Linked DNA regions of Arabidopsis thaliana. The protein of the gene in region 2 purifies or fractionates together with the protein of the main gene of each other region. This does not show direct contact. Each region holds a gene or a part of one and is shown on either strand. Other genes may lie near its edges.

Region 1 (3,227 bases), on a different chromosome or scaffold from region 2:
ACGTGATAGAAGTAAGTTTGTTCCTTAGAGACCTATACTCTTGGTTCAATTAACTATAATGTTTAAGCCAAACTTCTCATGTTTGATCACAGGATCATCCAAATGGGCGTACGGATCTACCAAATCAGTGGGACAATCAGCTGAATTGTGTTCCTACATGTTTGTTGTCCAGTCTCGAAACGTTCCGTTGGAGTGAGATGCATGGATTGCTGCAGAACCAGATGGATGTAGCTAAATATATCTTGAAAAATGCTCGCTGCTTAAAGTCTGCGACAATCTTTTTTCCGACAACATATGCTCAAGAAACAAGAGATGAGATGATCGAGGAGTTGTCACTTTCTTTTCAAGGTCCAGAAACATGCCAAGTCTTCTTCCATTGAGGATGTGAATCATAAGGATTCAAACTTTCATTTCCATAGACACTACCCTCCTTTATTACAATGGTTTTTTATTTGCAGCCGTAACTTGATCTAAACTTAAGGTTTATGTCTTTGTTTTTGGTTTTCTTTTTGTATACTTTATCTTTGAGCATACTGTTTTTGTTGAGACATTGGCTTTATCTTTCTGAGATCTTACATCTAGACTCTCTCTTAGGTATGAAACTAGCTTCACCAAATCACCTAAGTTTTTCATACGAACATTAGCTCAAACTAAATCGAAATCTTGAGCGCAAGTAAAAATGTGATTTCATCTCTCTGTTTCCATAGTGTATATACTATTATGTTCTTCTTATAAAACTCTGCAAACCAATCTTTGTAAATGGAGAAATAAAACATTTGCAAAAAGAGGGACAAGTCTTAGACAACAACAACAACAACAGAAGAAGAAACAGAGATAGAGAACAGATTAGATAGCTTGCAACACAAGTCAAACATATACATATACATATACGAGAGATTGACATTGAAACGAATCATCCAAAGAAGCTTGGGTCGTATCCATTGCTGGAAGTAGCCAAGATGTAGTAAGCAACGATGTGTCCAATAGAACCCCAAGCAAGAACATCAACAATGTTGAATCCAATTGGATCGTTCGATTTCAAGAGACTGACGTACTCCTTAGCACGATCATCTCCAGCTTCGAAATGGGTTTTTCCGTTCTGCTCCGGTAAGCCCTGTTTTGCTACGTTCTCTCTCTGGAAGTTGAAGAAGACGAAACGGCCGAGGAAGAGGGAGAGACCTGTGCTGAGACTTATGACGATGGAAGGGCTTAGCTCAGCTCTCACGACAGCGGAGGAGGATTTTCTCCCGGTGGTTGATAGTTTGGGTAGGGCGGAGGAGGAGCCACCTAGACGGAGGGGACGAAGGCCATGGAATGAGATGGAGTTAGGGTTTTTGTGGGAGATTGCAGTGGAGAATGTGGTTGGTGAGAGCAAAGCTGATGCGCTTGTGGCCATTTTGCTTCTTCTTCTTCTTCTCTAAGAAAAATTTCAGTAATAGAAAAATGAGTGGTTTTGGATTTATGATCTGAAGGTTTGGTTTTGGATTCTGGCAAGCAGGAGAAGAAGCAGAAGAAGATTTTGTTTGTGAGGATACGATTACGGATGGATGATGTGGCATTCTCTCGTTGGTTCTTTCTGGATTATGAGATTTTCAAAGAAATATTTGCGTTCAAACCCTTGTAATTTAGTAGGATACACTTTGAAGAACCTACTATCTTTTTTTTAAAAGATTTAGTCCATAATCTACACTTTAATAGTCTTTTTTCTCATAAAGTGTTTGTATTTTATTTATAACTTGTGTTGTAAAAACTCAATATTACAGGTCTTGATACATATGAAACTAAAACCAACAAACTTATAACCATAGGCCCAACGAGAAAAGCCCAATCGAGAAACATAATCCTTTAAGGAAGTAAGCTAAATAATTCCCGACTGCAAAGCCACGTGGAATGCTAACAAATAAAGTTGAAGACGTGGATAGATGATTCTTCGTCACCGTTCATCGCCGATCTGTTCAGCAACAACCGGAAAACTCCAAAGCCACCGGAAACAGCTAGAACTTTAAACACAGAAGTCCATCGGTTTTTAATTAGAGAATCCCAACAAACATCATCATCAAATTTGCAAAGAAAGGATCTTCCAAAAGACAATTGATTCCCGAATTCCAAAAACACAGCGGCACAGATTTTACAAAAATTGATCAAAGCCAATAAGAGTCCATAATTCATTGAAAAGCTATGAATCAATTCCTGTAATTGCAAACTCAAAAGTAAAAGCATCGAATAATACACTTCATTAAGCGATAATTCGCTTCAATCGATATTATCAACACATCCCTAATAAAATTTATTGTAAGTAAATAAACAACTGGAAGAAAAACATAACAACGGCGGAGACAAACCCGAAATCCGGTCAAGACGATACTATGTAAGCTACTGCTTCCGGAGTGGTGCCGACCAAGACGACGCTAAGGAAGCCATCGCTGTCAGAAGAAAGCTAGCCAACTCCGCTAAAGTAGTCAGAGATGCCAGACACGAGCCCACTATGTGAGGAACATGAGCCTTCGAATCAAACCAGAAGGCAAAGGTTTGATCGGAAAGTTTAGCTTTCTCTAAAAGATATTAAAGAGAGAAGAGAGAGAGAAACTTACCATTGATACACTTTAATAGTCTAGGAAACAGAAATATTATGAAACATCATGATATATAATTTGATCCAACAATCGGCAGAAACATCTCAAATTGAGTTCCTCTACAAGTGACCATAGCCAAATAACGAGCCACAGACTCGAGTAAAGTTGTCTCTTTGCCAAGAGTTGAGACTTGATGCAAACTCACCCGAACCTCATATACTTATGTACAATACACGAACTCCAACACTCATACAAGAAATGAACATTAACTAACTAAATCCGCTCTCTGTGACAACATTCCTACTAGTACTTGCACAACACATCATTTACACCATTAGAGATCGACTTGAGTTTATGTTTTCTCTTTTCTCGGGTTTCTTAGTTTAACAGAGCGACAGGAGAGTGCAGCAGCACATATGTATCGGCTCTTTTATTCCTCTGGTATGTCGGGTGATCATAGAAATGAATCAAGGTAGGAGTAGTTGTGGCGCCGGCTATACTCAATTAGACTTCCGTAAGTGCGGTCCCAAACGCCTATGAAGAGTGCTTCTGTGTCGGGGCTAAATGATATTCCCGAGATCTCCCCAAAGAAGTCGATCTCTTGCTCCGTTTCATACCCGTTTGAGACATCATACACATGGACAAAGTCAGCCG
Region 2 (5,625 bases):
AAAATGTTAGTCTATTCTGACAAACTATTAATGTTAGTAGATGAATAATCATGCTATGCATGAGTTGTTGTTTTGAAAATTGTTAAAAATATGTTGTATGTTCTTTGTTGCTAGTTTGTGTAGTTACATAAATATTTAGATTCATCTTATATAGTTACAATTTTTATGCTTTGATTCATCTTTTGACGTAAAATATCAAGTATATATTTTTCATGTGTAATATAATTATCTATATACATAAGATCTTAATCTTTTTTTTGCTATCATAAATACATAGAATAACAATATAAGATATATTGATATAATAGTTGTAATTATAATTGAGTTATACATTAGCATGATTTTGTATTTTTCAATTTTTTTGAAGAAATAAGTTAATAGTATTGATGGAAGATTTAATGATGTGGAGGACTTTTGATTTTCTTAACTTAATTTTGCTAAAATTTTTATTGAATAATATAAAAACACATGTAATTTTCTTGTATGATAATGTGACATTCATATGGAGAGAGTTAACCAACTTTCATATATATATTTTTTTCGATTCAAAGTAATTCTATGACATAAATTTTGTGAATTATTTGTGCATTATAAACTTAAAAATTTATTTGGTTATTTACATGGGACACCCGTGTATCGAAAAGTAGAGAGAAGATTGAACAAAAAAGCTAACAAACTTTATTTATCTCAACAAAATATTGTTACAAGCGTTAGTTAGAACTGTGTATCATTAAGCTTATATATATTTGAACTTAAGCTCACTTAATCAAAGTTAACCAAATATTAAACCAACATTAAACCAGCGAACCATACATCATAATACGCCTCTCTCAAGTCTTTATCTTCGAAGTGTCTGGTTTCCGAAGATAAAAACATCTTCTTGAGTAAATGATGAAATGACCCCGGATGTAGTGGCTTTGTGAAGTACAACTATCCACAATTTTCATTTATAATATCTAATGAGAGCATATCCGACAATGTTATAAACATTTTCTATCGATTTGTTAGTGGTTTACAAACCACCAATGACAATTTATTTCATGATAGATTCATTGTGTTTTAACTTATGGACAACCAGCATCACAATGATTGTTTTTGTCTATGGTTTGAGTCACAAGTCCGATTCATAATTGTTTGTAAATAAATATTTTTTTGTTGACTAATAAATATTATATTACAACTTTTTCTTGCAAATTACTAAAACTCAAGATTCTTTTTCATTTTTTCAAACATATATATATATATATATATATATATATATATATATTACAACAAAATTCTCTTATAAATTATTAAAATTCAAATTTTTTTATCGCAATTAGTTCCTTAAGAGAACTTATAAATAAATTAAGTCTTACATACAAAATATGTTTTCAAAAGAGTACAATGTGTTTGTTGGTTTTGCTTTCGTGCAATATCATGAAATATGTTTATGGTTTCTTAATTATTTATACCAATAGGTGATTCACCACATGATGATGCATATGTACAATTTATCTATTATAATGAGTTTACTATCTTGACTCCCACAAATCAAAACCCTTATTTTTCTTTACCGTTGTCCGTTGAGATGATAAAATAATAAACTAAAAATGATTGTACATATTTTTGTTATGATTTGAGTTAGAGTTTTTTTTTTTCGTTTATTTCAATTCTACGTAAAAAAAATTATATAAAGAATTCATTTTATTTGTGACTAATAATATCTAAATATTATAATACAATATTTGTTTTTGGTAATTTACCAAAATTCAAGATTTTATTCTTATTTTTTTCAAAATCATGACGTGGAACGCTAGACGATCCAACTTCGCTTATCTCCTCCTAATTTTCCCTCCAATTACACGTTGAAACAAAACAAAACAAAAAAATCAGAAGGAACCTGAAACTATCTCACACAGTAAAAAACATCACCATCTCAATTCTCAACCACACAAATCCAAAGCTTCTAACTTTTTTTTTTGTTCTTCGTCCCGGACAAGAGAAAACAACGATCTCACTCAATCATCGGCGTGAGGGATAAAGACGATGGCTTTTACTCTAACAATCCCTAGATTTTCTGCAATTTCTCGCAAACCCATCACTTGTTCTTCTTCGAGGACACAGTGTCCTGCTCCCTTTACCCATGGACGATCGATTTCTCTCAGACGAAGACTTACCTTATTGCCCCTTAAAGCTTCTACTGATCAATCAGGTCTCGATTTTTATTTGCCTCTTTAAAGTTTCGATTTTTTTATTTGTTTTTGCCTCTGATCTTTCTTTGGGAACGAAATTGGTGTGAAAAGTTGAGATTTTTATGATCATAGAAGATAATTAGATAAATGATTTCCAATTTGTAGCCTTTTTAGGATTAAAATTTGTGTGTAGCTTAAGGTTCTTAAGTTATTAACTCATCGTTATGTGATCGAAACAAAAAAGCACTCAATCTTCAAATTTAGTTGAGAAAAGCTGTTGTATTGTAGCTTTGATTTTGTCTCTGATCATTGTTTGGGAACACAGTGGCTTTTGAGAAAGTTTTGATTTTATTCAATCATAGAATAAAATCACTCAAGCTTTAATTCTAGTTAAGAAAAGTTGTTATATGGAACTTTTTTCCTCTGTGGATTTTTAGTTTTTATACTCTAATCCACTAAAAGATTGCTCCTTGAGAGTTTCCTTACTTCTTAAAATCATTTTTATGACTTGTCTTCAGGTCAGGTGGGTGGGGAAGAAGTTGATAGCAAGATTTTACCTTATTGTAGCATCAACAAGAATGAGAAGAGAACTATCGGTGAAATGGAACAAGAGTTCCTCCAAGCGATGCAAGTAACACATCAAATAAAGTGTTTTTATCATTAGTATGGGTTTATCTCTATATAATCGAGGATTGTTTCTGTTTCTTTTCTTTTGCAGTCGTTTTATTACGAAGGCAAAGCGATTATGTCTAATGAAGAGTTTGATAACCTTAAAGAAGAGTTGATGTGGGAAGGAAGCAGTGTTGTCATGCTAAGTAATGAACACTTATGATTTATAGTTTTGTCAATAATCCATTCGCCTAGGTTCTTGATTCTTGATCTAATTTTATCTATGTATTGTAGGTTCTGATGAACAAAGATTCCTTGAAGCTTCAATGGCTTATGTCTCTGGAAATCCAATCTTGAGTGATGAAGAGTATGATAAGCTCAAAATGAAACTAAAGGTTCTTAATCTATTTATACTTACAAATACTATTTCTTAGTTTCATCCATCTTGTTACATGTGTAATTTGGACAAACGTTATGATTGTTTCTTTGGTTTCTGTAGATGGACGGCAGTGAGATTGTGTGTGAGGGTCCAAGATGCAGTCTTCGTAGTAAAAAGGTAAAAACTCTTAATTGTTCGGATAGCTCATATATTCTTTGGACATTACAGAACATAACATTAGATTCATTGTTTGGGACAAACTCTAGAGATGTTATAGACTTGTGGACCTCCTTGATTATGCAGGTTTATAGTGATCTTGCCATTGATTACTTCAAAATGTTCTTGTTGAATGTACCAGCAACTGTTGTTGCTCTCGGACTGTGAGTACCTCCGGTTCTGTTCCTCTCTCAACTTTCAAATCACATGATCTTAGCTTATGTTAGTTAGTTTAAAATTGTTGTTTTCTTCAATTGTTCTCCAGATTTTTCTTTCTTGATGACATTACTGGTTTTGAAATCACGTACCTGCTCGAGGTAAAACCTCTTTCGACTATTCTACTATGGTTTGGAGAATATATACTCGTAGTAATTGTTCCAGTATTCATGCAACTGATTAAAAAACAAAAACAAAAATCTGCAGCTTCCGGAACCATTCAGTTTCATTTTCACATGGTTCGCTGCGGTGCCTGCAATTGTATATCTGGCGTTATCACTCACCAAACTGATCCTCAAAGACTTCTTGATCTTGAAGGTAAAAACATTAATCATCTTCCAAGATCAGTTCATGAAGTGGAAAAATAAAAGTTATAGAACTAAATCTTGTTTTCTCAGTATCAAAAATGCTTAAACAAGAGATTAGACTTGAGATAATAATCTATTTTGTGCTAAACGCTACAAATTTGGATTGGTATAGTGCCAAATCCTACGAGTTTTATGCGATTATTATGAAATGCTTTTAATTTTCGTGGAACATATCTTTCACAGGGCCCTTGCCCAAACTGTGGAACAGAGAATGTATCTTTCTTTGGAACGATACTATCCATCCCCAATGATAGTAACACCAACAATGTCAAATGCTCAGGGTAAGCTTCTCAGCTGTAGACTCGAATCGATCACACAAATTGTCTACAACGTTTCTTGAAGTCTTATGATTCTTCTGGTTTTTAGCTGTGGAACGGAGATGGTCTATGACTCAGGTTCTCGTTTGATCACATTACCAGAAGGAGGGAAAGCTTAAATCTAAGAGCCAAGGTTTAATTCTTATCTCAACTTTGATTTCTGATGAAATCTTTCTTGATTCAATGGAAAATTCAAAATTTTAGGGTTTTCTTTTTCTCAGGGTTATGTAGAAGTGTATGTAAAATTAATACTAACAAATGAAGAAGGTGGAGAAATTGAAGAAGAAGGAGAAAAACCAAAGTTTGTATGCTGTTTTGTATAATCTTCAGATCTTTTCATGTAGCTCTCATTGGCTTGTGTTGTGTTTGTAAGTAAGTGTGAGGCACATTCAAAGAAAAACATCATATGATTACTTCTTTGAGAAACTTTGCTCTCATTAGGAAAGTAAAATAATTCAAGAAATAAGCACAACCTTGTGTAGTTTTGAAATAATACTTGTATTTTTTTTGTTGTTATAATTTTGAATGTGTTCCATAATATAGTTTCGTTAATCCATGTGAAAATCAAATATGATGTTCTAAATCATTTATAGGTGCTAGTCAAGGCCAGTCCAAGACTTTTTGACTTTTGTGATTCTATAGTTCATTTTAGTATGATTTCTATTAAGAAGCTGATAGATAGATAAAAGTGGGGAACATGTAATAAGAGTTAAGGATTATTACAAAGGAAAAAGTCATACAAATATTATAGCATGCCAAATTCTATCTTTTTAATAAGAAAAAGGTGCAATGATGATGATGACATCGTCGTCGTCCCATGCCCTCTATATCATCATTTACCTTCCTTTTTTTTCTCACCGTTTAGACATTTCTAAATGTATCATTTTAGGATCGAAAGAATATAAGCAATTTACAAGACTACAAAGTGTGTATAAAGTAAAATGTCACGAGGCTAGAAGAAAGTAGGATAGTATTCTAAGCATTATAAAACATCGGTCATGCTTATTCATTATTATGTCTTAAGGATTAATAAAAGATACATAGTATATACTATATACTGATCATGTCTGTCCCCAAAACACATGCCAACAAAGTAAAACACAATCAATATACTTCTCTCTCTCTTTCTTCTTGATCACTTCTCTCTGCAAAACCTAACTACTTCTTCATTCATCTTAGAATCATTGGGTCCTCTTCACATGGGCTCTATACCATTTATCTTCATCATCCTTCTTTTTCATGTACATAAATCCAAATCTCAGACCATTGAATCAGCACATTTTCTTGATCTTATGATCAGAGATTACACCATTAGAAACTTCAACATACATTTCAAGACAGGTGCT

Evidence for each region.
Region 1: the proteins of PGRL1B (region 2) and PSAG fractionate together in Arabidopsis thaliana (co-fractionation; one large-scale study listed by BioGRID). This does not show direct contact.

Annotation. Positions count from the first base shown.
Region 1 is NC_003070.9:20,801,961-20,805,187, forward strand, and holds PSAG (photosystem I subunit G), read right to left. Parts: upstream 1,490-3,227; 5' UTR 1,422-1,489; coding exon of another isoform or gene 1,397-1,421; coding exon 914-1,396; 3' UTR 710-913; downstream 1-709. Other genes in the region: AT1G55660 (FBD, F-box and Leucine Rich Repeat domains containing protein), read left to right, coding at 1-11, 93-380; AT1G55673 (uncharacterized protein), read left to right, coding at 1,011-1,421; AT1G55675 (uncharacterized protein), read right to left, coding at 1,894-2,220; AT1G55680 (Transducin/WD40 repeat-like superfamily protein), read right to left, coding at 3,028-3,227. UniProt on the Arabidopsis thaliana protein: Not yet known.
Region 2 is NC_003075.7:7,174,113-7,179,737, reverse strand, and holds PGRL1B (PGR5-like B), read left to right. Parts: upstream 1-1,849; 5' UTR 1,850-2,028; coding exon 2,029-2,194; intron 2,195-2,564; coding exon of another isoform or gene 2,565-2,610; intron 2,611-2,692; coding exon 2,693-2,805; intron 2,806-2,892; coding exon 2,893-2,989; intron 2,990-3,077; coding exon 3,078-3,178; intron 3,179-3,282; coding exon 3,283-3,339; intron 3,340-3,465; coding exon 3,466-3,542; intron 3,543-3,643; coding exon 3,644-3,695; intron 3,696-3,801; coding exon 3,802-3,912; intron 3,913-4,145; coding exon 4,146-4,243; intron 4,244-4,328; coding exon 4,329-4,398; 3' UTR 4,399-4,412; intron 4,413-4,500; 3' UTR 4,501-4,852; downstream 4,853-5,625. Other genes in the region: AT4G11950 (transmembrane protein, putative (DUF1191)), read left to right, coding at 5,479-5,625. UniProt on the Arabidopsis thaliana protein: Ferredoxin-plastoquinone reductase involved in cyclic electron flow (CEF) around photosystem I. The homodimer is probably not involved in CEF.